Oryctolagus cuniculus: one gene and its partners. The protein of the gene in region 1 purifies or fractionates together with the protein of each later gene. This does not show direct contact. Links are inferred from orthologs where the notes say so. Each region holds a gene or a part of one and is shown in the gene's direction. Other genes may lie near its edges.

Region 1 (4,001 bases):
GGATCAGAGCAGCTCCAGCCATTGTGGCTGATTAGGGGAGTGAACCAGCAGATGGAAGACCTCTCTCACTGTCTCTCTCTCTCCTTCTGTGTGTGACTGTGACTTTCAAATAAATAAATCCTTAAAAAACAAAACAAAAAAACACAGTATTCTTCTCCTTTTCTCTCTGATCTCTCCTACTCCTCTCACTTCTGCTCCAACCACACAAATCTTGCTGTTTCCCGAAGACTTTAGATAGGCGTCCACCTCAGGGCCTCCGCACCAGCTCCTCCCTATCATATCCCTCAGGTAGCTGCATGGGCAACTCCCCCACTTCTTAGATGGCTTTCAAAGTTCATGTCCTTACTCTGCCGCGTTGTTCCCCTAGCACACGTCACTTTCTCAAACGCTATGCATTGATGGCAGCGTGGTGTCTTCCCGTCCTAGCTGTCAACCACAGGCTGTGGACGCCCGTCTTTGTCTACTGTGTTGACTGCGTATCCCAAGCGCCTGCAGTTGTACCTGGCCCATGGCTGGTGTTTGGTAAACAGCTGCGGAATGACGAATGCCTCAATGAATGCTGAAGGCCTACTCAGTGCCAGGTGATCTTACTCGGTTGGGGACACAACATTAAACTCCCTCCCTCGTGGGACTCCCACGGAGGTCTGCTTAAGCCAGCTGACCTGTTTTCCAATGTTGACTCTACCGTTCGTTTCCGGTGACATGTGGGGCAAGTTACGTAGGGTCTCCAAGCCTTACCTTCCCAGCAATCATGAGAATTAATGGGGGAAGGGGAGTGGGGCGGGGAAGAAAACACAGAATAAAAGAACCCTTGCGGCATCCGGTACAAGAAACGCTTTGACATTTCCTTTCTCATCCTCAAGACCAGACGACTGGGAGTTCGGCTTCTCCGCCACAGGTTTAACCGAGGTTTTTGCAAAACCTTGGAAAGGCGCAACCAGGCTACTACGGGCAGGCTTACCCAATTTCTAACTGAGGATGTCCTGTTGAGAGAGGGCCTAAAAGGGTCGCAACGAGAAGCCACAGAACGCTCAGGTCACCTACTTCGCCGTTTTGCCTCCGATAAGCCTTGCCGGGTCTCCAGGGGTGAAGTACCGGGAAGAGGAGGAAAAAGAGAAGCCGGCTCCAACTGAAAACTACAAATCCCAGCAACCCCCGCGGCAGGCAACTACGGGTCCCAGCAGGTTTCGCGGGCGGAATTGAGGGGACCTCTTCGGGCTGCAGCCTGGGATCAGTCAGCGAGGGCGCGGGACGTGCGGGGGCGGCGCGGAGAATCCGGTCAAGCTTTAACGTCGCTGCGCAGACGCCACTCACGGGCCGGACGTGACGTAGGGAGAGTTCCGGCTTCGGCCTCCGCCGCTGCCGCCGCTAGTACCGTCGCCGCCGCCGCCGCCGCCGCCGCGGCTTGTTCCTCCTAAAATGGCGCCGCTAGACCTGGACAAGTATGTGGAGATAGCGCGGCTGTGCAAGTACCTGCCAGAAAACGACCTGAAGGTGAGCCCGGCCGGGGCGGGAGTGCCGCTTGCGGGGCTCGCCCCTTCCGGCTGTGGGGCGCCCGCCGGTCCGCCCTTCCTCTCTCCGCGGGACCCCTGCCGGGTGTCCAGTCCTGTCGCGGTGGAGAGCCCTCCGCGGTGGGAGGCGACCCTCGGGCTCGGCGTCACGCGGGGAGACGGGAGAGCCCGAGTGCCCGGATGCTGTCCTGGCTTCCCCCGCCGGGGATCCCGAGGGCTGTCGCGGGCTCTCCTCCGGGGTCGCCCCTCCTGGCCTGCGGGCTGCCCCTGGACGCGGAGCCGTTACAGCTTCGCCGGGAAGACCCCGCTCTTCCCCAGCCGCAGCGCCGAGCCCCGGAGCCGGAGTCGAGCCCCAGCGGGTGGTGCTCCCCGGAGGTGACAGGAGCGCGGGTGGCCGGCTCCCGGGGTCGCTGAGGTCCGGCGGGGCGGCGGGGCCCGAGCGGAGTAAGAGGACGTCGTGTCCCTCCGTACGCCGCTCCACATTGCTCCTTGGGCGTGCTGGCTCTCGTGCCAATTCAGCTGGGAATCCCGGTCTGTGGCGGTGTTGGGTAAAGTGTGCAGATACCAGTAGCTTGCTCGCCTGGAAGTCGTGCCCCCGAAACCCACTTCTTGGCTTTTTGGAAGAAGGTGACTTTTTGCTTGTTATTGCCCGAGTGGTGGGATTGTGTGTGTGGGTGCAGGAGTCGGGGTCGGATAATTTTGGAAAAGCGTTTCTGTGCTTTGTTGAAACCAGTGCTTGGGTTTCCAGCAGCGGTTACCCGCTAGTGCCGGTGTCTCATTTGTTCTGTTAACTTTGATGGGCTCTGTGCTAAGTGGGTAAGCTGTAAACGGTTCGAGTGCTTTTCATGCTTTCATTAAGCCGTGGGTTGTAAAGTTACAAAAGTAGATGTGACCGTGTTTGTGTTTTTGCTATATCCTTTGGTACCGGAAGTTGATATTTAACCTCACTCAACAAGTATGCAAAATTTTTCAGGTTCCCTGGCCTGATGTGAATATAAATGAATTGTATGTGCTTATGCTGGGATAATCACTCTCGTCCCCCCCCCCCCCATTTTTAATAGGATAGCTTCACTAAGGACAGCTTTTATTAATGGTAGTGTAGTGTTTCTGCTCCCAGTGCTTCAGACGCGTGCTGTGTAGCCAGCATTGGGAACCCGTTCATGGAGAACTGGCCAGGCCTCTGCTGGTAGCATTGTTCATCTTTTTGGTGAATTCATTGCATGTTAATGAATCGATGTGGAATTCTGTTTTCATTTGTTATGTTTAAAGCCGTTTTGTACTTTGTGATTTCAGTTTCAGAAAATATGTCTTGATATTACCTTGAGGTGGGACACAAATTACTTGAAAAACAGTTGGATTTTCTTTAGATCTCTTAGTCTGCTAAACGTTATCTGAAGGAAGTAATTATTAAACCATTTTATTTCCTGTTGAAACATAGTTGGACTGTATTTATTTGCATCTGATTCTTAATAAACTTTATATCTTCTGAGCAACTACTTAAATTCTGGATTTTTCTCTGTTAGAGACTTCTGTTTTGGAAAATTTTTTTTTTCTTTCTTTTTTTTTTTTTGACAGGCAGAGTGGACAGTGAGAGAGAGAGACAGAGAGAAAGGTCTTCCTTTTGCCGTTGGTTCACCCTCCAACCCTCCAATGGCCGCCACGGCTGGTGCGCTGTGGCCGGCGCATCACGCTGATCCGAAGCCAGGAGCCAGGTGCTTTTCCTGGTCTCCCGTGCGGGTGCAGGGCCCAAGCACTTGGGCCATCCTCCACTGCACTCCCGGGCCATGCAGAGAGCTGGCCTGGAAGGGGGGCAACCGGGACAGAATCCGGCACCCCAACTGGGACTAGAACCCGGTGTGCCGGTGCCGCAAGGCGGAGGATTAACCTAGTGAGCCGCGGCGCCGGCACCTCCAGAGTATTTAAAGAAATTTAATTTATGTTTCTTTTTCTTGGCATGAAGTACAAACTAAAAATAGGCAGACCAAAAAATACTCTAGGAGCACCTTTGATGCTTTCAAGTCAGTAGAAAATATTCTGTTAGAGGATGGAAAGAATTAATTGGGGCCACTTAATGAACATGATGGAAGAGACTTGTTTGGGTAGAAAGGAAAGTAAATTTTTATTTGTATTTTAAGTTTATTAGAAGTTAGAGGTGCAACATTAAATAATAAATACATAGGATGTTCAGGTGTGATAACAAGTTCTTTATAACTGAATTTGAAATGGTCAAAATACTAGTACCAGGTCGAATCTGCCTGTTTTGAGGGAATAAGAATAAAGTACCTGAGAGTGAGTGGACAACAGAGCTCAATAGATGGTTTAGATTTCATAAGTTGCTAAGTGAAAGAAGGAGTGATAAAAGTCTAGTTTGGTGCTCGCTTTGGCAGCACATATACTAAAAGTCTAGTTTGCTGAATATGTAAGTACTTTTGGAGGAGAGAGTCTATAACTTGAAGGTTGTCTGAATTTTTAGAAAATTTTTTTTTCAAG
Region 2 (3,500 bases), on another chromosome or scaffold:
GGAACCCAGAACTCAATCTGGGTCTCCCACATGGTGTCAGGGCCCTACTTACTTAGGGTATCTCCTGCTGTCCTCCCAGGGTACACATTAGCAGGAAGCTATATCAAAAGCAGATGTTGTATCTTAACTGCTATACCAAAAGCCACCCCTAGTGTATTCCTTCTAAAACTACGTTATTTCATTATCTGGCTTACTAGGTTTTACTTTGCCTGTCCTCTTTTGAAAAACATTTAGATTGTCTCCAATATTTTGCTATTTCAGAGTAGTTTAATGAACATTCTCATACACATGTCTGTACGTATGACCAAGTATATCTGAAAATAATGTCCTAGGCTAAAAGATCAGTATTTTTAAATTGTATGTCTTTTTAAAGACTTTATTTATTTGAAAGGCAGAGTAACAGAGAGAGAGAGAGGAAGAAACAGAGAGAGAGAGAGAAAGAGATAGCTTCTATCCACTAGTTCACTGCCTGGCTTCAACAGCCAGGTCTGGGCCAGTTGGAAGCTAGGAGCCAGGAACTTCACCCGAGTCTCCCACATGGGTGTAACTTCTATGGGTTACAGGTGTCACAAGTGGTAGCTTAACCTGCTGTGCCACTAGGCCAGCTCCAATAAGTTTTTTTTAAAGATTTATTTATTTATTTGAAAGGCAAAGTTACAGAGAGGCAGAGGCAGAGCAAGAGAGAGAGAGGTCTTCCATCCTCTGGTTCATTCCTCGATGGCCACAACAGCTGGAGCTGAGCCAATCCAAGGCCAGGAGCCAGGAGCTTCTGGGTCTCTCATGTAGGTGAAGGGGCCCATGGACTTGGGCCATCTTCTACTGCTTTCCCAGGCCACAGCAGAGAGCTGGATCAGAAGTCGAGCAGCTAGAACTTGAACCAGCACCCATATGGGATGCCAGCACTGCAGGCGGCGGCTTTACCCACTAAGCCACAGCACTGGCCCCCCAATAAGGTTTTAATTTTGACAAATAATGCCAAATTGTCCTTCCAGAGAAATCAGCCACCCACATTAGATGACATAGACTCTTAAAAATTTGTACTCAATCAGCCAATTACCTACAATGTGAAGACTTAGTTTTGCAAATATCTATCTCAAAGATGAAAATGAACTCACTGGGTCTCAAGATTAAAGGGAAACCAAAGATGCTAATCTCATTAACAGGGCCCCTGCATACACCCCTCCCCTAATCTAGGGACTGCCATTTGCATAGGTGACACTTCAGAGTCTACCCTGATCAGTGTCCCCGTGAACTGAGACGTTTTAACTCCTGAAGACACCACCGTGCGTGTGTTTCTCAGGCATTGATCAAATACAGGGTAAAGTGTAAGGGACTAAAATCGTGTTTGCTTGAACTCTTGAGGACACCCCTCCATGCAGCAGCCTTTGCTGACCACGTGGAGTGCCTGCAGCTTCTTTTGAGACACAACGCTCAAGTGAATGCAGTAGACAATTCAGGGAAAACGGCGCTGATGATGGCTGCTGAGAACGGACAGGCGGGCGCCGTGGGTATGTGCTTGTCATGTGGACTTCATACTCGTGCTTTTCCCCAAACGAAAATAATGGGAATTTGAAAAATCAGTCGTGTTCTTGGTGTGCACGTGTGAAAAGGGGCCACAAACAGTTTCAGTTAGGCCACCTAACTATGTGCTTAGGCATTTTCAGTTCCCTGTGACTTGATCATTAGCGGACCTTGCCAGCGTGAGCCAACCTTTGTGCAGTGGCATTTCTCAGCATTTAGCAACCTGGTAAAAGAGCAGAATCATCTAACTGGTCTTAATGGAAAGCTGTAAAATAAAAGTAATGCCTGTTGATATTGGAGATAGAACAAATATAGCAATAAATTGTTCCTTTTTTTCTTTCAAAACATCAAATGGGAACTGTACTAATAGAAATGTCATTTTTGTAATAACTTGTTGAAAATGTATGTGATTAGCATCTAATCTAAATAACCCTCTTTTGGCTTTTTCTATAGATATTTTGGTGAACAGTGCCCAGGCTGATCTGACCATAAAGGATAAGGACTTGAATACACCCTTACATTTGGCTAGTAGTAAAGTATGTAAATGAATTTAAAATACTGTTACTAAGGGGTTTTAAAATTAATTTTAAAATATTTATTTATTTCATTTGAAAAACAGGGAGACAGATAGGCAGAGCTCTCCCACCTACTGGTTCACTCCCCAAAGGCCCACAACAGCTGAGAGCCGGGAACTCAGTGTTGCTCTCCCTTATGTCTGATGGGGACCCAACTACTTAGCCATCACCTGTTGCTTCTGAGAGTGTGCATCAGCAGGAAGCAGGAATCTGAGCACAGAGAGGATTTGAAGCCAGGCACTGCAGTGTGGGATGTGGGTATCCCAAGTGGCATCTTAACTGCTGTACCACATGCCCAGCACTGTTACTTGGCATTGTAAAAATAATTAGAATAATAATGATGGCACTAGAATTCTGCCTTTTAGGAAGCATGTTTCCCCAGGGTGTTTTCAGGTGTAAGTGGAATGGGGAGGGCAGACACGCTCGGCTGATGAGAATGTGCTGTGTCATCCTGAATGATGAGCACAAGCTTTCCATAGCATTTGCCGCTTACTCACCACAGTCTGTTTTGATGCTGCCACTGGATCCGTCTCCTTGGTTGTGAACCACAGAGTAGGTTAAGACTTTAATTCTATGACTTCTGAAATATAGGGGCCAGTGTTGTGGCCAGCAGGTTAAGCTGCCACTTAGAACACCAGCATACCGTATCAGAATACTATTTTCAGAGTCCTGGCTGCACCACTTCTGATCCAGCTTCCTGTTAATGCACATGGGAAGGCAATGGAAGATGGCCAAATACCTGGGCCTCTGCCACCCATGTGGAAGACTCAGGTGGAGTTCATGGCTCCTGGCTTCAGCCTGGCCCAGACCTGGCTATTATAGCCATTTAGAGAGTAAGCCAGTGGATGAAAGATCTATATATTTTTTAAGATTTATTTATTTATTTGAAAGTCAGAATTATACAGAGAGAGAAGGAGAGGCAGAGAGAGAGAGAGAGAGGTCTTCCATCCACTGGTTCACTCCCCAGTTGGCTGCAACAGCTGGAGCTGTGCCTATCCAAAGCCAATAGCCAGAAGCTTCTGGTTTCCCATGCAGGTGCAGGGGCCCAAGGACTTGAACCATCTTCTACTGCCTTCCCAGGCCAGAGAGCTGGATCGGAAGTGGAGCAGCTGGGACTCAACCAGCACCCATAAGGGATGCTGGCACTACAGGTGGCAGCTTTACCTGCTGTGCCACAGCACAGACCCCTGTATTTTTTTTTCAATATTTATTTTGTTATTATTTGAAGGGCAGAGTGACACAGAGAGGGAGGGTGGGTGGGGAGGAGAACTTCCATTCTCTGGTTCACTCCCCAAATGGCTGGAACAGCTGAGGCTGGATCAGACCGAAGCCAGGAACCTGGTGCTTCCTCCGTCTAGGTTTCTCATGTGGGTGCAGGGGCCCACATACTTGAGCCATCCTCCA
Region 3 (3,500 bases), on another chromosome or scaffold:
TTGTTTCTGTATATCGTGTGGAAGAGAGTCTTGAGATTATATTGCCTTCTTTTTCTAGGTAGCAATTACAGTGAAAAATGTGACGTCTTCAGCTGGGGCATTATCCTTTGGGAAGTGATAACACGTCGGAAACCTTTTGATGAAATTGGTGGGCCGGCTTTCCGAATCATGTGGGCTGTTCATAATGGTTCGTAAAAAGAAATTTTTTTAATGTACTTTGTATTTCATATTTGGAAGATTGTTTCTGTCTTATCTCCATCCCCTCTCCCAAAATAAGGAAAAAAATTATCCCTAACCTTAAAAACTAAAATTCTTTGTTATCAAACTATATTTCTATTATCAATCCCCAGCCCCTGAGTCTAGTAGGGCAGATTTGGGGATTTCCCTGGCCTCCATACAGGGCTGAGAATGTGCTACTTGTGCATATTAGAGAAAGGCCATCAGAACACAACCAGTGCCAAATCTCTGTCTCTCTTGAGCATAGAGAAGGATCATACTAGGCTCTCTGAAAAATTAAATACATAAATAAAATCTAATGTAGTTCAGATAATTGGAAAGTTACAGCCTTTTTCTCCTGAGGAAGCAGAGTCTCAGTAAGGAGAAAAAGCAACAAATAATGATAAGAGTTGTTGGTTAAGCTCATGAAAGCAAAACAGAATGCTTTACATACCCTCTCTCTATAGTCTCACACAGCCTGAGGAGGTAAATTCGGTTGTCTCATTTTACAGGAAAAAGAGACACAAATAACTCGCCATGGTCTCAGGATTAGTAAGTGGCAGAGATGGGATGCAAATCTAGATCTTTCTGACTCAGTTGCTGTATTTTTCAGACATATTGACTGAGGGACTCACTATTCTTATTCCTGCATATCTCTAGTAATGATATTTCTAAGCACTTAGGTATTTATTTCTAACCCCATATGATGTTAGCATGATCCTCTTCATTAATAGTTATTCCACATTTGCTTTGGGAAAATAAACTCTTCATGAAGGACAGTTACTTAACCTTAGTAAGCATTAGCCTTGTTCTTCATTTCTTTCATTCGAATGTAATCATTTTGATTTGTAACATTTATATTTACTGTTCCGTAAGTAATAAACACAAATGTCTGCCTAACTATTCAGGTCATTCATAGAAGATCATCAGAACAATTTTAGCTGTTTTTATCAGTTTTCTGTACCACTTGCAGTGTTACTGCTGTCAGGGTCATGGTAGGGAATGCTAGATCATTGACCAAGACAGTTTGTTCTCTCTGTCAGCTGGCAGTGAATGATTGAATGGCAATGAAATAAGGAGTAGAAGAACTAACTTGTTACTTCATAAAATTACCAAAACTTCGTATTTGAGGCCTATGTTAAGTGGGACCTTACTAATAATTTTACACAGGTGTAGGACAAAAAGTTGGAATTTTGAGCCTTGAAATGATTGATTCACAGCAACCATAAGGTCTCAAAAGAGTCATTTGGAAGTCAGCAAGTATACTACTGTAGTTGACCAACTTTTTGATATAAAAGATAAGTTTTCAAACACATTTTGAAATTTTTGAAATTTAGGTAATGTTTCTTCAAACCACCATTTGAATTTTCTTTTAAAGATTTATTGATTTGTTTATTTCAAAGAATGACAGAAAGGGAGAAAGATTGAGATCTTCCATCCACTGGTTCACTCCCCACATAGCTGCAATAGCTGGGGCTAGGCCAGGCTGAAGCCAGGAACCAGGAACTCCATCCAGATCTCACACATTACGCCATTTTTTGTTGTTGTTGTTGTTAAAAGAGCATAACAAATATTGTTACTTCTCAATCTTACTGTTCTATATTGTACAAGTTTTTTTTTTTTTAAAGATTTTATTTATTTATTTGAGAGAGTTATAGACAGTGAGAAAGAGAGAGACAGAGAGCATGGTCTTCCATCCACTGGTTCTCTCCCTAATTGGCTGCAACGGCCACAACTGCAGCCATCTGAAGCCAGGAGCCAGGAGCTTCTTCCTGGTCTCCCACGTGGGTTCAGGGGCCAAGGACTTGGCCATCTTCTACTGCTTTCCCAGACCACAGCAGAGAGCTGGATTGGAAGAGGAGCAGCCAGGACTAGAACCAACACCCATATTGGATGCTGGTGCTGCAGGCGGAGGCTTAACCTACTGAGTCACAGCACTGGCCCCGATGTACAAGTTTTAATTTAACTTTTTTAAAGATGTTTTCCCTTTAGGAAAATATACATAAAATAAATGTTAACTTATAGGACAAAAATAAGTCCTTTTTTTACTCCAAAATATAGTTTTTAAATTACAAAATCTATAAAATAAACACTGCTTTGGGAATACAAATAAAGAACTTGCTCCATTCTTTGGGTAAATACATTGCTTTCCCTCCTTCTCTCATTTTTAATTATAGGTACTCGACCACCACTGATCAAAAATTTACCTAAGCCCATTGAGAGCCTGATGACTCGTTGTTGGTCTAAAGACCCTTCTCAGCGCCCTTCCATGGAGGAAATTGTGAAAATAATGACTCACTTGATGCGGGTATAATCCTTCTTTTGAGGGGCTTTGAATTTAGGGAAATTTAATGTATACTGAGTTTGAGTAGGGCTTAGAGTAAAGGAGACATTGTAACCATTTTCTTCTTTCTATTTTTGGGTTTTCATTACTCATATAATCAGAAGACCCATTTGGAGTATGAAGGGGGAGTAGTCTAGTTCCTTGTAATGGGAAGATGTTTAGGCTAGGTTTCTGGTTATACCTTTTCATACTGCTTACATTAGTGGACATGTGTTTCCGTTGTCTCATCTGTAATGTGAGAGAAGCTGAATTAGATGATCTGTTAAGCCTTCGCAGGACTTGGGTATATTATGACTTTCACACCCAATGAAGGAAATTTAAAATTTTCTGATATATATCATCAGACATTCAGTATTAGTCAGTCATTTATTTAGTTATACAGGACAGTAGAGGGAGAGGTTGCATTCCCAAATACATTTGAGTGATTATGTTTTACTATTTGTATTTTTGTTGTATATGAAAACCTGAAAAGGTTTTTATAGCTAAAAAAAATTTTTTAAGTTAACCTTTCTTCTAGGATTTATAGAATATTTTAATTTTCCTAGTCTACAAATCAAATACATTAGAATCATTTGAAATAGTTTAGACTTCTAGATTTTGGTAGACTAAGAAAACAACCAAATAGAATGTTTGCTTTAAAATGTTACTTTAAAATGAAAGTACCTGAAATTCAGAGCAATTTGATCAGTAGAACAACCTTGCAATTTCCTTAAATATAGACCAAGTGATTTCCTTAATTAATACCCAGAGATTACTTTTTTTTTTTTTTTTTGACAGGCAGAGTTAGACAGTGAGAGAGAGAGACAGAGAGAAAGGTCTTCCTTTTCTGTTGGTCCACCCCCCAAAATGGCCACTACGGCCGGCACGCTGCACCGATCCGAAGCCAGGAGCCAGGTGCTTCCTCCTGGTCTCCCATGCGGGTGCAGGGCCCAAGGACCTG
Region 4 (4,086 bases), on another chromosome or scaffold:
TCACGGGGGGACACGGCTCTGAGTGAGGGCGGTCCCAGGTGGGTGGACATGGGATCGGGTGAGGGCGGTCATGGGAGACAGGCCTGAGTGAGGGCGGTCATGGGGGCTCGGCTCTGAGCTAGGGCAGTCACGGGGGACACGGGATCTGAGTGAGGGCGGTCATGGGGGACACGGCTCTGAGTGAGGGTGGTCACGGGGGACACGGGATCAGGTGAAGGTGGTCATGGGGGACAGGCCTGAGAGAGGGGCAGTCACGGGGGGCTCGGCTCTGAGCTAGGGCCGTCATGGGGGACACGGGATCAGGTGAGGGCAGTCACAGGGGACACGGCTCTGAGTGAGGGTGGTCACGGGGGACACGGGATCAGGTGAAGGTGGTCATGGGGGACAGGCCTGAGAGAGGGGCAGTCACGGGGGGCTCAGCTCTGAGCTAGGGCAGTCATGGGGGACACAGGATCGGGTTAGGGCAGTCACAGGGGACACGGGATCAGGTGAGGGTGGTCATGGGGGACACGGCTCTGAGTGAGGGTGGTCATGGGGGACACGGGATCGCATGAGGATGGTCATGGGGCACAGGCCTGATGGCGGTCATGGGGGGGGGACACGGCTCTGAGTGAGGGCGGTTCCGGGTGGGTGGACATGGGATCGGGTGAGGGCGGTCATGGGGGACAGGCCTGAGAGAGGGGCAGTCACGGGGGGCTCGGCTCTGAGCTAGGGCAGTCACGGGGGACACGGGACCTGAGTGAGGGCGGTCATGGGGGGGACAGGCCTGAGAGAGGGTGGTCTCGGTGGGGGGGTGGACACGGCCCGAGGGCGGGGGTCCTCTTGGCCCTGAGGCTCAGGTCTTCGCACCCCTCCCAGGATTTTCCTTGGACACAGCTCGCCATAACCCTTTCCCTCGGATGGTGGGAGGTGACAAGCGGAAGCCGTTGGCCGCGGGAACAGGTGCCGCGGGGAGGTGGGGGCCTCCGAGGGAGGTGGCCGGCCCGGAGGGGAGGGGCGCAGAGGGTGGGGGGCGGGCCGGCGCCCTGTCGGCCGCGGGAGCGCGCTCTCGGGGGAAGGGGCGGACGGACACCCCTCTCTCCCACGCATGTTAAACCCGCACGGACCGAACGTGCGAAGCTCGGGGTGCGGCAGGAGACGGGATGCAGACACCCGGCGGCGCCGTTCCGCGCTGGCGCGGTCCAGCAAAACGTCACCGCGAGCATCCCGCCCCGGGGCCGCCCGGGGGCTCCGGCCCCGCCCCGGTCGCGAGCGCGCGCGCCCCCGCGCCCGGAGAGCGCGCGCGCGCCCGCGCCGCCGCGGCCGCCATCTTGCGGAGAGCCGTGGGCTGCCCGCGGCCCCGAGCGGGTCCCTGGCGGTGCCGAGCCGCCGGCCGGCCGCGCCCGTGTCGGAAGGCGCCGAGCCCCTGGCCAGGCCCATGTGGGTGCGGCGCGCCCGAGGCCACCCGGGCTTCGCCGCCGCCCGCGCCCTGGCCTCCACTCGGGCCTCCGAGCAGCCGCCGCGACGCCCGGCCCGCGGGGCAGGTGAGTGTGGCCGCCCGGCCGGCGGGAAGGACAGGCAGCGGCTCCCGTCAGGCAGACAGCGCCCCCTGTCCGTCAGTGCCTCCTGCCAGTCAACGTCCCGACCGCCTGACAGCGCCGCCTGTCAGTCAGCCAGCGCCCCCTGTCAGCCAGCGCCCCCTGTCAGCTAGTGCCCCCTGTCCGTCAGTGCTCCTGTCAGTCAGCGCCCTGTCAGTCAGTGCCCTGTCAGTGCCGCCTGTCCGTCAGTGCCCCCTGTCAGCTAGTGCCCCCCGTCAGTCAGTGCTCCTGTCAGTCAGCGCCCTGTCAGTCAGTGCCCTGTCAGTGCCGCCTGTCCGTCAGTGCCCCCTGTCAGCTAGTGCCCCCCGTCAGTCAGTGCTCCTGTCAGTCAGCGCCCTGTCAGTCAGTGCCCTGTCAGTGCCGCCTGTCCGTCAGTGCCCCCTGTCAGCTAGTGCCCCCCGTCAGTCAGTGCTCCTGTCAGTCAGCGCCACCTGTCAGTCAGCGCCCTGTCAGTGCCCCCGTCAGCTAGTGCCCCCCGTCAGTCAGCGCCCTGTCAATCAGTGCCCTGTCAGTCAGTGCCCTGTCAGTCAGCGCCCTGTCAGTCAGCGCCCTGTCAGCTAATGCCTTCTGTCAGCACCACCTGTCAGTCAGTGCTCCTGTCAGTCAGTGCTCCTGTCAGTGCCCCCTGTCAGCTAGTGCCCCCGTCAGTCAGTGCTCCTGTCAGTCAGTGCCCTGTCAGCGTCCTGTCAGCACCCTGTCAGCTAGTGCCCCCCATCAATCAGCGCCACCTGTCAGCTAGTGCCCCCTGTCAGTGCTCCTGTCAGTCAGTGCCCCCGTCAGTCAGTGCTCCTGTCAGTCAGTGCCCCCGTCAGTCAGTGCCTCCTGTTAGTCAGTGCCCCCGTCAGTCAGTGCCGTCAGCTAGTGCCCCCTGTCAGTCAGTGCTCCTGTCAGTCAGTGCCCCCGTCAGTCAGTGCCTCCTGTTAGTCAGCATCCCTATCAGCGCCCTGTCAGTCAGTGCCCCCGTCAGTCAGTGCCTCCTGTTAGTCAGCATCCCTATCAGCGCCCTGTCAGTCAGTGCCCTATCAGCCAGCCTGTGTGTGAGCCTTGGTGACCCCTTGACCTCGTCTGCAGCAGTTCCCTCCCCTGTCTGTGATCTCTGTTGGCTTCCCCGTGGTCAGCGCCCTCCTCAGCAGTGACTGTGCTGGCCTAGAAGTGCCTGCCATCCCTGCCTGTCAGGGTCCCTGGGTCGCTCAGAGCCTACCCCCGACCCGGTCAGATGGGAGGACCCCTGATGTCAGTGCTCACCCCCACCTTGGTGCCCCCTCCCTCCTCTGTGACCTTCCTGTCCACACCCCGTGCTCCTGTTGGAGACCCCGCCTGTCAGTGGTCCCCACACTGTTCCTCCGCTGCCTGTCAGTGAGATCCTTCCCCTCAGTGGCGCTGCCACTTCTCACTGCAAAATCTCCGCTTCCCAATTGTCCTTAAGCCCTTTGCCAGCTTGTTATTCTTTTTTTTTATTTTTTTTATTTTTTGACAGGCAGAGTGGACAGTGAGAGAGAGACAGAGAGAAAGGTCTTCCTTTGCCATTGGTTCACCCTCCAATGGCCGCCACAGCCAGCGCGCTGCGGCCGGCGCACCGCGCTGATCCGATGGCAGGAGCCAGGTGCTTCTCCTGGTCTCCCATGGGGTGTAGGGCCCAAGCACCTGGGCCATCCTCCACTGCACTCCCTGGCCACAGCAGAGAGCTGGCCTGGAAGAGGGGCAACCGGGACAGAATCCGGCGCCCCGACCGGGACTAGAACTCAGTGTGCCGGCGCCGCAAGGTGGAGGATTAGCCTAGTGAGCCGCGGCGCCGGCGCCAGCTTGTTGTTCTTTCCCAGTCTGCCCCAACCTCCCCCATGGCTTCTCTCTGACAGGCTTGACATGCCTCTCGGGTCCTGCCATCTCTCATCTCTCAGCTGTTCACCACTTTCCGTGTGTGTAAGATTTATGGGTGTAGTACGTTGAGCATCTGCCTGTGGCACTGGCATCCCATGTGGGCGCTGGTTCAGGTCCCAGCTGCATCACTTCTGATTCAGCTCCCTGCTGATGGCCTGGGAAAGCAGTAGAAGACGGCCCAGTGCCTAGGTCCCTGCACTTGGATGGCAGACCGGAGGAAGAGCCTGGCTCCTGGCTTTGGATTGGCTCAGCTGTGGCCATTGTGGCCATTTGGGGAGTGAACCAGCAGATGGAAGACCTCTCTCTCTGTCTCTCCCTCTCTCTGTCTGTAACTCTGCCTCTCAAGTAAATAAATACATCTTAAAAAAAAAAAAAAAGATTCATGGGGCTGGTGCTGTGGTGTAGCAGGTAAAGCCATTACCTCCAGTGCCAGCATCTCGTATGGGCACCGCTTCCAGTCCTGACTGCTCCTCTTCGATCCAACTCTCTGCTATGGCCTGAAAAAACTGCAGAAGACGGCCGAAGTGCTCGGCTCCCCTGCACCCACTGGGAGACCCAGAAAAGGCTCCTGGCTCCAGATCAGCTCAGCTCCGGCCGTTGCAGCCTTTTGGGGAGTGAACCATCAGATGGA
Region 5 (4,272 bases), about 220 Mb from region 1:
GCTCCCCCCACCCCCCTGTAGTCCTCCCCCTGGGCTGGACCCCTCCACAATCCTCCCCCTGGGCTGCCCCCCCAGTCCTCCCCCTGGGCTGGACCCCTCCACAATCCTCCCCCTGGGCTGCCCCCTCACAGTCCTCCCCCTGGGCTGGGCCTCCCCCCCCACAGTCCTCCCCCTGGGCTGGCCCCCGCCCCTCGCAGCCTGCTCCCCGCCACGATCCTCCCCCTGGGCTGCCCCCCCCACAGTCCTCCCCCTGGGCTGGACCCCTCCACAATCCTCCCCCTGGGCTGCCCCCTCACAGTCCTCCCCCTGGGCTGTCCCCCCAGTCCTCCCCCCCTGCAGCCTGCTCCCCCTGGGCTGCCCCCCCCAATCCTCCCCCTGGGCTGGCCCCCGCCCCCGGCAGGCCCCTGGCAGCCTTCGGCCCCCTCGGTCCAGGCCTGCCCCTCCGGCCCTGGGCGGCTCCTGCTCCAACCTGCCCTGCACCGCCCTGGCTCCCACGGGCGGAGCCCAAGCCCCAGGTAGGTGCCTCTGGCCGACTTCCAAGGCCTCCGGTGTGTCCCCCCACCCCAGACCTGTGCCGGCCCCACCCTGTCCTCCCAGGGCGTGGGGGGGGGGGAGGGTGCGCTCGGCCCTGCCCCGCCCAGGTCACCTGCCTGTGTGTGCCCGCCCTCACCGCGACCCGGCTTTCCGCCCTGCCGGAGTCCACGCGGGTGACCGCGGCTGCGGGGAGGCCAGCGCCCCGCGGGGTCTACGAGGGCCCAGCCCCCCAGCCAGGGCCGCCAGGCCTTGAGGACGCTTCTCCGCACGGGGTCCAGGCGGCCCACACCTGGGCGGGCACCTGGGGGGGCTGTCCGCGCCCCGCGCCGCAGCCTGGTCCGGGAGGAGCCCCCCAGGGCCGTCCTCGGAGTCGCGGGCCTGGGGTCCCCGGGGGGCGGCGCGGAGGTCAGCTCGCGGGGAGGCCCTCCCCTGTGGAAAAAGGGAGGGGCCCGCGCGGCCTCTCTCGCCGCTCGCGCTGGGGAGGGCCCCACAGGGCCGGGGGCACTCGGCGACCCTGGCCTTGACCCCCGCGCCCGGGGCGGCCACGTGACGGCGGCGAAGTGCACGCGACAGGTAATCCCCGCCGTAAAAGTTGGCAGTGGAGAATGCGGGCATCGATCCCGCTACCTCTCACATGCTAAGCGAGCGCTCTACCACTTGAGCTAATTCCCCGGCCCCGCACGGCTTCCGGCGCCGGCGCGTATTGTGACTCACGTCATCACCGGTCCCCTCGGCCCCGCCTACCCGCCCGTCTCGCTCCCCCATTGGTTCGCTCGCGGCTCAGGCTCCACAGCCGCGATTGGTTTGGCTCAAGTTAGTTTCAAGAGACATTGGCCGCTCAGATTGGTGGTCCGAGGCGTCCGTCAAGCAGAGGCCCTGCTGTTGCTACGGCGTAGGGGGCTGGACCGAGCCAAGTTTCTCCCGGTTCCTGATTTGTTTCTGCGACTCCAGGGTCCTAGAGGTTCCGGATCCGTCAAGTCCATGGGAAAAAGAATGTACCCCTCGCGTTTGACTGACGAGGCCTGCGAGCCAATCGAAGGGGAGGCAAGGGAGCCGCTGGGCGATCCAATAGGTTGAAGGGGGCGGGAGAGGGAGGCCAATGAGGGTGGAGCTGGGGGCGGGGGCTGGGCCGCGATTGGCTGCGAGGCGGCCGGAGGGAGGGCGGGGGGCACTCAAGGCCTGCTTGATACGTCCGCCATTTTGGGCGCTTCGCTGATGGTGTCGGTGAGCGCGTTTCCCGCCTGAGCGCAACTAGCGGCGGGTCGTGGGCGCCTCCAGGTAATGGGGGTGGGGAGGCCTCGGGGCGGGCCGCGGCGCGGGGGCGGCGGGGCGCGCGGGCGGGCGAGGGGCGCCTCGCCGGGGTCTCGGCGCGGGGCGGGAGCGTCCGGCCCCTCTCCCCTCCCCCCCGGAATTCGCCGCTCGGCGGCCCGGGAGGCGCGGCGCCGAGCCCTGCCGCGCCGCTGCCCGCCCGCTCCTGTCAGCCGCGGCCCGGGCGGCGAGCTCGGCGCGGCGCGGGTGCCCGCGGCCTGGCGCGCCCCTGCGGGGCTCCGGCTTCCCGCCCGCGTCGCCCCGGCCGCCCCCGCCGCGTGTCCCGGGGAGCCGCGGGCGAGCGCGGGCCATTGTTGGACTCTGTCCTCCGGGAAGCAAGTTTGGTGGGCTTCGCCCCGCCGGGCGCGGAGTCGTCGGGACGCGCCCCGAAGCCGGCCGCCGCGCTCCCGTGGCCTTCCTGGGGGCCGGGGCCGCGAGGACCCCCGTCCGGGAGGCGCGCGTCCGCGGCCGCCGCGCAGGTGCTGCCCGCCGAGGGGGCGCGGGCGGAGTCGCAGGTGTCCGGGCGAGTGCGGGGCACCGGGGGACGCGCTCGGGGCCGCTCCCGCCTGGCCGGGGTGGAGTTTACTTTTTCTGCCCTCAAGGTCACGTTGCTGATGGGCAGCGCGCGGCCCGAGGCTCGCGGTTGCCCCGCGAGGCTGCGGCTCGCCGGCGCCGTGACCTTGCGTGGTCCCGGGGCACCTGTGCGCGGGGCGGCCGGGCCGGGCCGGGCCTGGGACGCGCGCAGGCCCCGGTGGGAGTCGGACGAGCGTTTCGGCCCGGCCTGCTTTGTAGTTTAGAGTCAGCTGGGGTCGGAAATGAGTGGAAGTTGTAGTTTTGTGTTTTTTTTTTTTTTTTTTTTTGGAAGGGGGCTGATGGAGCTTCGTGGGATTAGATCCGGGGGCTGGAGCCAGGGCTGGTGTTCCAGGAGGGGGCTACACGCAGAGGGCCGCCCAGCGCTTTCCTGGGACTCTGCCTCGTGTACCTTTGGGGTCCTTCCTGGAGTGTTGCGCGGGGTTCTGAGGCGCCCCTGGTGGGGTGTGGGTGCACCCCAGGGCCCTCCCGTCTGGGTGCAGCTGGGAGCGGAGTGCGGCGGCGGCGGCCAGTCGCCCAGGCCTCCGCTGCCCCCCCGCCCCCGGTGCCTGTGCTGGCCCGGGAAGTGGATTCTGATCCTGTGGAGGCCCCCGTGGGGACCGGCATCAGGCTGCTGTGGCTTACTCAGACCGGAAGGAGACTCGAGCTTTGTGCAGAGTACAAGAAGCCAGACAAATAAACAGAAACATCTTTCGGGTTTTGACTGGGAATTAGAGTCAGGCCACAGCTGGATGTGTAGATGAAGACTTGACGGGTGAGGCGTGTTTGGTTTCTTCAAGATAAATTTTTGCGTGTTTGGTACAGAGATAGTGTCTTTATTACAAGTAAGCATTCCTGAAACAGCATTGGCCAGGCTTGGCATTCCGTCATGAGCTTGTCTTGTGGTTTTGAATTTCAGATATCAGCCCGAGCATGTGTTGACTGACAGTTTTTACAGTGTTTCCTGCACGTCAGAGTAAGCGACAGTAATGGCGGTCTTTGACTGCTCAGCGGGAACCCAGCCTCGGGGTGCTTCACGGGGAGCACTAAGTCAGGATCTGAGCCCAGTGGGGCTTCTTGGACTGACTTAGGCAGCTTTCACGCTTCTTCCTGTTCTTAAGAAAACCTCAAATGGTTGTTTTTAATTATAGATCAGGGATTCTCAACTTGGGGTGATTCTACCCCGGGAAGCGTTGGGCAGCGTTGGGAGACGCTTGCCAGCCTCGGGGGTGGGTGCTGTGTGTTTGGAAGGCAGAGGCCCGGGACACCGCGCAGGACAGTCACCCAGCGCGAACAGCAGTGGGGCTGAGGCCGATGCACCCTGCTCTAGGTGGTGGTGGACTGGCCTGTGTTAGAATCCCGCGGGACGTGGAGGCCGTGGGTGCGTGAGCATTGTGGTGCAGTGGGTTAAGCTGCTGTTGGCATGCCGGCAGCCGTATCCGTTGGTTCGGGTCCTGGCTGCTCGGCAGTTGTGGTGATGTGCCTGGGACGGCCTCTGCCATCCTCATGGGCGGCCCGGATGGAGTTGGTGGCGGTGGCCTGGCCCAGCCCCATTCTTGTGGGCATTTGGGGAATGAACCAGAAGACAGATTGATGTCGCGGTCCTGCTCGTCCCCTCTGTCTCTCTTCCTTTCAGAGGACATAAACGAATCAGTCTTATCCTTTTAAAGACGACCATGGTGCTGGGCCTCAGCTCTGGTGGTTTGTGGTGGGGGTGAGAATCCACTTTTAAAAACTTCCCAGACAAATTGCTGTGCTTCTCGGGTTTGGGACCACTGTTCAGGATGTTAGATTTCAGGGACAGTTGTAGCTGGGGGTCCTTTGGGTGATTTGTGAGCTCTGCCTTTGCACCCAGATCCT
Region 6 (4,132 bases), on another chromosome or scaffold:
GCAGATAAATGACTCCCACTTGGAGAGCCTGGCCCGTGGTGAGCTTGTTTCACTGGAGGATTTCAGAGTCCCCCCCCTCCCCGGCCCCCGGCCCCCGCCCCCGCCCTGCCCCACTTGCCCCGCCCCAGCAGGGTGGGCAGGCGTCTCCCTGTGTTCTTAGGAAGTGAGAAGCATGGGCCCGGCCAGCTAGGAAAGGCTACACACGGTGGTCGCGCACCTGGCGGCAGCTGCCCTCTTCCTCTCACCTGGAATGCGAATTGGAGAGCAATGATCCACCGAGGATCACCTAGTTTAATCTCGTGTAACCGAGCCGAGGGACAGGGCGGAATGGTTTCTTCGAGCTAACCCCACAAGCTGCAGCCTGTGTATTCAATGCCGGCTACCATGGGCTGGCATTCCTGCGCCACCATCTACATGAGCTTACATGAGACCCGGGCTCTAACAGAGGTGGGAAGGAGACTAACTCCTCCAAGGCCCCGTAACCCGTGAGTCGGCAGAGCCAGCCAGGACCTGCCAGCTCCAGCGCGCACCTTCCACTACATCACTGGCCGGCAGAGGAGGGCTCCTGTTACCAGTTACCTCGCCCCGCTGGCTGTCCTCTGCCTGGGGGGAGCAGGGAGGGTGAGTCAGCGCCCCCACCCTGGGGAGCTGCTATCAGGGAAGTGGGGGGAGGCAGTTGGTCAAATACCCTGCAGGCCGACCGACTGTATCCACAACAAGCCGTGCGGAGTTGCTTGGTCACTCCAGTTCCTGTAGGCGAGGCCAGGCCTGGTCAGCTGTAGCTGCCCTCAGTGGCTCCTCCCTGAACTTTCATCACACGCAAAAAAAAAAAAAATCTTTCCTCCTGTCCTGCTGGAACCTGCCTCTTAAAGGGACCAACAAGCAGCTTTGAAGCTGAATTTGAGAGCGGATAAAGGACTTTGCTAACCCCATGAGGACCTGGCCGGTTAGCCTTCCATCCCCGGACTCTCCCCAAGAGGCCTCCTCCCCGCCCCAGCTTCTCCCTGGTCCCTGCTGCAGGGAAGGGGCAAGTGCCCTGGGATGTCAGCTTCCCACATTCCCTGCCCTCAGGATGACCCCACTTTGGCTTCCTGCACCTGTTTCCCTGGGACGAGCCTCCCAGAGCCTGTGGCCATCCTTTGTTCGGGGCCTGCTGAGGCTGGAGCGCTGGCACTGAAGGGGTTAAAGGCCCGTGCACAGCACTGTCCAGGGTGTTTGAAGTAGGGCGGGGAAGGGAAGGGCTAGCGGAGCTGAAGAGGCCACTGGTCTGCGCTGGAATGAGTGCCCTGTCTCCCATGCAAACTCCTGGACCATGAGCAGCTCCCTTCACAGGACCAAGAAAGAGGCCCCCCCATCAAGGTGCTGGACTGGAATCTTAAAGGGACCACTGGAAACAGGACTTGTCCCTGTAGTGAGGTCCCCACCTGAGGGCAGGAACAGGTGCCCCATCTTCGGGACTTCTCCCGGGTCCGGTGAGTTGCCTTCCTCTCTGTGCCGGGTCTTCCCCGGGAGCAGGTGTCTTCAGGAGCCCCTCTTCTCCACTCAGCCTGCTGCTCCCAGCTGCCTTGTTTGCTTAGGGTGTGTGTGTGTGTGTGTACACACTGTGTAAATAGGGAACCACAGCCATGGCCAGTGGTTAATTAACACAGCTTGTTTGGCAAATGATGCTAAACCCTTTATACACATTCATTCTTTATCCTCATAATCCTATGGGGTTGACATACCAGAATCCTTATAGTAAATGTATGGCTTAGAGAAGTTAAATAACTAACTGTGTCAGTTAAAAGTTGTAGGCCTGGGGTTCAGATTCAAGTTCATGGCATAGCAAAGTCCATTATGTTCTTTTTGGTCTTGTTTTCCCACACAGGAGGTGTAGACACTAAGGATGTCTCTGGAATCTTGAAAGCCTGACATCCTAATTCTCCCAGGGCTTCCTTCCTCTTATCCTGTCGTGGGTTCCTTTGATCCCTGGGGGCTAACTGGGGAATATAAAGAGCCACCAGCTCACACCTGAGAGCTAGGGCCTTACAGATTGTCATCCACCAGACTGGGGGTTCTCTGCTCCGCCCACTGCCTTGCTATTTTCTGGGAGCTAACAGGTTAATGCTTGGGCTAAGGTGGCCAAAGTCTTCTCAGGTGTGTCCCTTGAACCTCAGGCCCTCTTGCCCCACCCTCTGGCACAGCAGCCAGAACTCATGCCAAGAAACCGGCAGGAGGTTCGAGAGGAGTGGTTGGCCCGGCCCTCCTTCTTCCCTGTCCCCCATGTAGTACGGGCTAGGCTGGTCCCGAGCCCCGGTACAATCGGCAGACAGCTACAGGTCCTGCTGAAAGGAACAGGACAGAGTCCCTGGGTTTAGTTTAATAACCAAAACAAAGCAAAACAAAACAAAAAGCAGGTAATCAGACTTGGAAGCCCAAGGCAACAAAAATTCCTGGCTGACGTGTGAGGCCGGTTGATTTTATCATCGAGGTGGGGGTGATTTAGGGTGGATGTTTGAGATGCCTGATTGCTGACTTCCTAGACAGGGTGTGGTTGGGTTAGGGGGCTGGAGATGCTGACTGCCTGTCCCATGTGGAACACCCAGAATTGAGAACTGATAGTAAACTTGGTAGCTGCCCTGGGAGCAGGTGGATGGCTTTCAACCCAGAAGCTGATGTGGGAAGCGGCTTTCGCCTGCACTGGCCCCTGCCTGGATTTGCATGTAGAACCTCTGGTTCCTCTTTCTTCTGCCTCATACTTGGGAGATGCTGAAGTGATGTTTGCTGAATGAATGGGTCCCAGAGGGGAGCCTTTGCCTTCTTGTCATAGACCTGCATGTCAGAGAAGAGAATGGGTTCCAGGACCCCGGCGTTCCAGCTGGCGGGGGTGGGGGTGGGGGTGGGGGTGGCGGGAGGTGGCAGAAGCTCAGGCGCTGCTGCCGTGCACGGAGCTGTCCTGTGAGCAGGAGCGTGCAGGCACGGGGCCCCCAAGGGCCTTCTTTGCTGAGGCCAAGAGAAGCTCAGTGTTAGCTCTCTTCGGATTAATGGTTCACTTCCCAGGGGAGAAGCTACGGGAGGTTAAACGTTGAACCATCAAAGGCTTTCCTGTGACCCTGTGCTACCAGGGCCAGGAGCCCCGGAGGAGAAGCCAGCACACACGTCAGCTGGCCTCGGCCTTGCCGCCCAGGGCTTATGGGTCTTCTCCATTGTTGCCCACCCTCAGGAGGTTTAGGATCCAGCACAGGACACGGGACACGGGGTGGACACGAGACACAGTTGCAGGAAGCCCCTCAGGCTGCTAAGGAGCCGGCAGTGTTGCCGCGGGGCCAGCCCGCTGTTTGGTTGCTATCTGCAGTTCCTAGCCTCAGTAGTTGCTGGCAGCAAACATAACCGAGGGCCCTGCCTGCCCCATACCTCCTTCAGATTTCTAAGACAACAGAGGGAGTAGAATGGACAAATTTAACTTCTTTGGAACCTCCATCTAATTTCTTTTGGAAGCTGCTTCCTTTTTTTTTTTTTTTAAGATTTACTTATTTGAAAGAGTTACACAGAGAGAGATGGAGAGGAGAGACACACAGAGAGTTTCCATCTTCTGGTTTATTCACCAGATGTCCACTATGGCCAGGGCTAGGCCAGGGCAAAGCTGGGAGCCAGGAACTCAATCCAGGTCTCCTGCGGGTGGCAGGGACTCAATCACTTGAGCCATTGTGTGCCGCCTTCCAAGACGTGCAGAAGCGGGAGCCAGGGATCGGGAGCGGAGCTGGCACTCTGACAGGGGCTATGGACAGCCTGAGCACTAGGCCACATGCCCACTCCTGCTGGGGCTTCCGTGTGCCCGCCTCCCCGACACTGGCTGCAGAATGCTCTGTTGGGAACGCAAGGCTTGATGTCTCTCTCCTCCCCACTGAGATTTGGAGACCCAGTGGCTCTAGACCAGGAGCCTGCCAACTTTTTTGGTAAAGACCCAGATAATAAATATCTTGGGCTTTGCAGGCCATACGGTCCCTGTCGCGACTACCAGCTTTGCTGCTAAGGCAAAAACAGCCCAAGACAATATGTAAATGAATGAGTAAGGCTTTGTTCCAAAAAAACCCTTTATTTATAGACACAAAGTTTTTTAATTTTTTAAAAAAGATTTTATTTATTTGAGAAA
Region 7 (3,500 bases), on another chromosome or scaffold:
GAACTGGAGAGTCCCAGCCCCACTTAAAGGGGGGCAATCTCTACTCAACTGTTGCCAATTGATGGTGCATGGCAGTGCAGTGCAAGTCTAATGTTGCTGGGTCTTTTTAAAAATTTTTTAAAGATTTATTTGTTTATTGGAAAGGCAGAGTTACAGAGAGGCAGAGACAGAAGGACAGAGAGGTCTTCCATCCTCTGGTTCACTCCCCAAATTGCTGCAACAGCCAGGACTGGGCCAGGCTGGAGCCAGGAGTTCCATCTGGGTCTCCCATGTGGGTACAGGGGCTCAAGCACTTGGGCCATCTTCTGCTGCTTTCCCAGGCGGAAGTAGAGCAGCCGGGACTTGAACTGGTGCCCAAATGGGATGATGGTGCTGCAGATGGTAGTATAACCCACTGTGCCACACTGCTGCAGTCCTGTTTTTTTTTTTTTTTTTTTTAAGAGAAACTGGAAGCCTAGATTATAAAAAACCCACAGTTTTAAATACTAAAAAATTAAACATATTGTACAGGCCAATAAAAACACATCTGTGGATTACTAATTTGTGGTCTTGGCTTTTTAGTATGTCTCATATAACTTTCTTTAATAAGACTGGCTAAATGAGGTCCCAGTATATATAAAGCTGTCTAGTATATTGGAAAGAGACCTGGTGTTAGCAGTTACTGGTTCCATAATCTTGAGTTAGCCATGCAAATATTCTGACCCTTTCTTAGCTCACAGAATATTTTGTTTGAGTATGGTATTTTTTTTTTTTAGATTTATTTATTTATTTGAAAGGCAGAAATAGAGAAGGAGGGAGAGAGAGAAATTGATTCTGTCTGCTGGTTCACTCCCTAAATGGCCACAACAGTCAGGGCTGGGCCAGGAAGAAGCCAGGAGCTTTTCCCAGGTCTCCCATGCTAGTGCAGGGGTCAAGCCCCTGGACTATCTTCTGCAGCTCTCCCAGGAACATTAGCAGGGACCTGGATTGGAAGTAACAGAGCTGGGACTTGAACTGGTACTATATGGGATGCTGGCACTCCAGGCAAAGGCTTACCCATCAGTGCCACAGTGCAGTTCTCTGTGTTTGTTTTTGTAGCATGCTTTTTTTTTTTTTTTTTTTATTTTTTATTTTTTTTTTATTTTTGACAGGCAGAGTGGACAGTGAGAGAGACAGAGAGAGAAAGGTCTTCCTTTTGCCGTTGGTTCACCCTCCAATGGCCGCCGCTGCAGCCGGCGCACCGCGCTGATCCGATGGCAGGAGCCAGGATCCAGGTGCTTTTCCTGGTCTCCCATGGGGTGCAGGGCCCAAGCACTTGGGCCATCCTCCACTGCACTCCCTGGCCATAGCAGAGAGCTGGCCTGGAAGAGGGGCAACCGGGACAGAATCTGGCGCCCCAACCGGGACTAGAACCCGGTGTGCCGGCGCCGCAAGGTGGAGGATTAGCCTATTGAGCCACGGCGCCGGCCTGTAGCATGCTTTTAAAGTCCTTGTCTTTTTTTTTTTTTTTTTTTAAGTTTGATTTATTTTATTTGAGAGACAGAATGAGAGAGAGGTCTTCCATCTGCTGGTTTACTCCCCAAATGGCTGCAATGGATGAGGCTGGAGCAGGCAGAAACCAGGAACCTAGAACTTTACAGGTATCCCACATGGTGCAGGAGCCCAAGCACTTGGGCCATCATCTGTTTCTTTCCCAGGCATATTAGCAGAGAGCTGGATTGGAAGTGAAGCAACCAGAACTTGAACTGGGGCTCCGAAATGGATTGCTGGCATTGCAAGGGCACTTCACCCACTGTGACACATAGCCTGTCCTATCATAGGGTATTTTGATGCTTGAATTTTGCTGTCTCAGAAGTGATTTCTGATCTTCTTACCTAAAATAGTATCCCCCCCTGCCCCTGTCCCTGCCTGTGGCTGACACTGGCATATTGGGTAAAGCCACTGCCTGTGGTGCTGGCATCCCATATGGGCACCAGTTTGAGTCCTGGCTGCTCCATTTCCATTCCAGCTCCCTGCTAATGTACGTGGGAAAGCAGTGGAAGATAGCCCCAGTCCTTGGGCCCCTGCACCCATGTAGGAGACCCGGAAGAAGCTCCAGCCTTCTGGCTTTGTTTTGACGCAGTTACCTTGCTTCATTTTTTCACATAGCACTTACCACTATCATTATAATATGTATCTGTGTATTGTCTGTCTTATTTAGCCCACTCTCTAATACAGGACCCTATAGATCTGATTATGAAAGATCGGATGTTGAAAGCATTTTATAGACTACAAATATATCATGTTTATTAACTCATCTCATTTAACTCAGTAATGTGGGAAGAATTCTGTTGGGATAAAAAGGTGAGAAAAGTGCCAACAGTGACATAAAATAATCTCACCTGACTTTTGGTTGTGTATAGGTTAGCCGATGAATTGCACATGCCGTCTCTCCCCGAAATGATGTTTGGAGACAACGTTTTAAGGATCCAGCATGGTTCTGGCTTTGGGATTGAGTTCAATGCTACAGATGCGTTAAGATGTGTGAACAACTACCAAGGCATGCTTAAAGTAGCCTGTGCTGAAGAGTGGCAGGAAAGCAGGTGAGAGCCTGGGCAGTTACGGGTTAAACCAAAAGAAGAGTTAAAAGGAATATTTACTAAGGCTCTATGTGTATCTTATTAAAATGAAAGGCTAATGTTATTAAATTTGTAGTTGGGTTATTCTAGAATTCATTTTTCTCAGCCATAATGTGGAAGTTAATTATCTCACTACTTGAATATTTGTTGAGTTAAATTGGACTACAACTGTACTGAGATATATAGGATTTACTTTTAAGCCTTCAGTGTTCCTTGGTCAAGAGTCAGTACACTATACTTTAATGTTCTTGTTTTTAAAGAAAAACACAGTCTTACGATTTACATTGAATGTTTGTGGAACACTGAAAGTAAAAAAAGAAGTGTATGTTCTTCGAAAATCCAATCAGCAATTCTTTGTGCCTACTATGTACTAGGTACCTTGTAGAATACAAAGAAATATAAAGCTTTAAATCATGTTCTCAGGCAGTGTACAGACTCCTTTGAAAGACTACATCGGCCGGCGCCGCGGCTCACTAGGCTAATCCTCCGCCTAGCGGCGCTGGCACACTGGGTTCTAGTCCCGGTCGGGGCGCCGGATTCTGTCCCGGTTGCCCCTCTTCCAGGCCAGCTCTCTGCTGTGGCCAGGGAGTGCAGTGGAGGATGGCCCAGGTGCTTGGACCCTGCACCCCATGGGAGACCAGGAAAAGCTCCTGGCTCCTGGCTCCTGGCTCCTGCCATCGGATCAGCGCGGTGCGCCGGCCGCGGCAGCCATTGGAGGGTGAACCAATGGCAAAGGAAGACCTTTCTCTCTGTCTCTCTCACTGTCCACTCTGCCTGTCAAAAAAATAAAAAGACTACATCAGGACACGAGAAGTTAAATAGCGGGGCCGGCACCATGGCTCACTTGGTTAATCTTCTGCCTGTGGCGCCAGCATCCCCTATGGGCACTGGGTTCTAGTCCTG

What was found.
Region 2: the proteins of PPP6C (region 1) and ANKRD44 purify together in Homo sapiens (affinity purification with mass spectrometry; 5 studies listed by BioGRID and IntAct, counting the BioPlex papers as one, with this or other methods). This does not show direct contact. The link is inferred for Oryctolagus cuniculus from reciprocal best matches to the Homo sapiens genes PPP6C and ANKRD44.
Region 3: the proteins of PPP6C (region 1) and MAP3K7 purify together in Homo sapiens (affinity purification with western blotting; 3 studies listed by BioGRID and IntAct, with this or other methods). This does not show direct contact. The link is inferred for Oryctolagus cuniculus from reciprocal best matches to the Homo sapiens genes PPP6C and MAP3K7.
Region 4: the proteins of PPP6C (region 1) and PPP6R2 purify together in Homo sapiens (affinity purification with mass spectrometry; 9 studies listed by BioGRID and IntAct, counting the BioPlex papers as one, with this or other methods). This does not show direct contact. The link is inferred for Oryctolagus cuniculus from reciprocal best matches to the Homo sapiens genes PPP6C and PPP6R2.
Region 5: the proteins of PPP6C (region 1) and PPP6R3 purify together in Homo sapiens (affinity purification with mass spectrometry; 10 studies listed by BioGRID and IntAct, with this or other methods). This does not show direct contact. The link is inferred for Oryctolagus cuniculus from reciprocal best matches to the Homo sapiens genes PPP6C and PPP6R3.
Region 6: the proteins of PPP6C (region 1) and ARHGEF2 purify together in Homo sapiens (affinity purification with mass spectrometry; 4 studies listed by BioGRID and IntAct, with this or other methods). This does not show direct contact. The link is inferred for Oryctolagus cuniculus from reciprocal best matches to the Homo sapiens genes PPP6C and ARHGEF2.
Region 7: the proteins of PPP6C (region 1) and TIPRL purify together in Homo sapiens (co-immunoprecipitation; 4 studies listed by BioGRID and IntAct, with this or other methods). This does not show direct contact. The link is inferred for Oryctolagus cuniculus from reciprocal best matches to the Homo sapiens genes PPP6C and TIPRL.

What each region holds. Positions count from the first base shown.
Region 1 is NC_091432.1:229,001,644-229,005,644, reverse strand, and holds the start of PPP6C (serine/threonine-protein phosphatase 6 catalytic subunit), read left to right. Parts: upstream 1-1,201; 5' UTR 1,202-1,419; coding exon 1,420-1,494; intron 1,495-1,565; exon of another isoform or gene 1,566-2,138; intron 2,139-4,001.
Region 2 is NC_091434.1:43,289,597-43,293,096, forward strand, and holds part of ANKRD44 (serine/threonine-protein phosphatase 6 regulatory ankyrin repeat subunit B), read left to right. Parts: intron 1-1,362; coding exon 1,363-1,508; intron 1,509-1,974; coding exon 1,975-2,057; intron 2,058-3,500. UniProt on the Homo sapiens protein: Putative regulatory subunit of protein phosphatase 6 (PP6) that may be involved in the recognition of phosphoprotein substrates.
Region 3 is NC_091436.1:81,926,401-81,929,900, forward strand, and holds part of MAP3K7 (mitogen-activated protein kinase kinase kinase 7), read left to right. Parts: intron 1-58; coding exon 59-187; intron 188-2,393; coding exon 2,394-2,524; intron 2,525-3,500. UniProt on the Homo sapiens protein: Serine/threonine kinase which acts as an essential component of the MAP kinase signal transduction pathway. Plays an important role in the cascades of cellular responses evoked by changes in the environment.
Region 4 is NC_091442.1:123,276,733-123,280,818, forward strand, and holds the start of PPP6R2 (serine/threonine-protein phosphatase 6 regulatory subunit 2), read left to right. Parts: upstream 1-1,286; 5' UTR 1,287-1,523; intron 1,524-4,086. UniProt on the Homo sapiens protein: Regulatory subunit of protein phosphatase 6 (PP6). May function as a scaffolding PP6 subunit. Involved in the PP6-mediated dephosphorylation of NFKBIE opposing its degradation in response to TNF-alpha.
Region 5 is NC_091432.1:4,119,791-4,124,062, reverse strand, and holds the start of PPP6R3 (serine/threonine-protein phosphatase 6 regulatory subunit 3), read left to right. Parts: upstream 1-1,472; 5' UTR 1,473-1,606; intron 1,607-1,669; exon of another isoform or gene 1,670-1,812; intron 1,813-4,272.
Region 6 is NC_091438.1:42,686,948-42,691,079, forward strand, and holds the start of ARHGEF2 (rho guanine nucleotide exchange factor 2), read left to right. Parts: upstream 1-1,332; 5' UTR 1,333-1,472; intron 1,473-4,132. UniProt on the Homo sapiens protein: Activates Rho-GTPases by promoting the exchange of GDP for GTP.
Region 7 is NC_091438.1:30,559,425-30,562,924, reverse strand, and holds part of TIPRL (TIP41-like protein), read left to right. Parts: intron 1-2,381; coding exon 2,382-2,561; intron 2,562-3,500. UniProt on the Homo sapiens protein: May be a allosteric regulator of serine/threonine-protein phosphatase 2A (PP2A). Isoform 1 inhibits catalytic activity of the PP2A(D) core complex in vitro. The PP2A(C):TIPRL complex does not show phosphatase activity.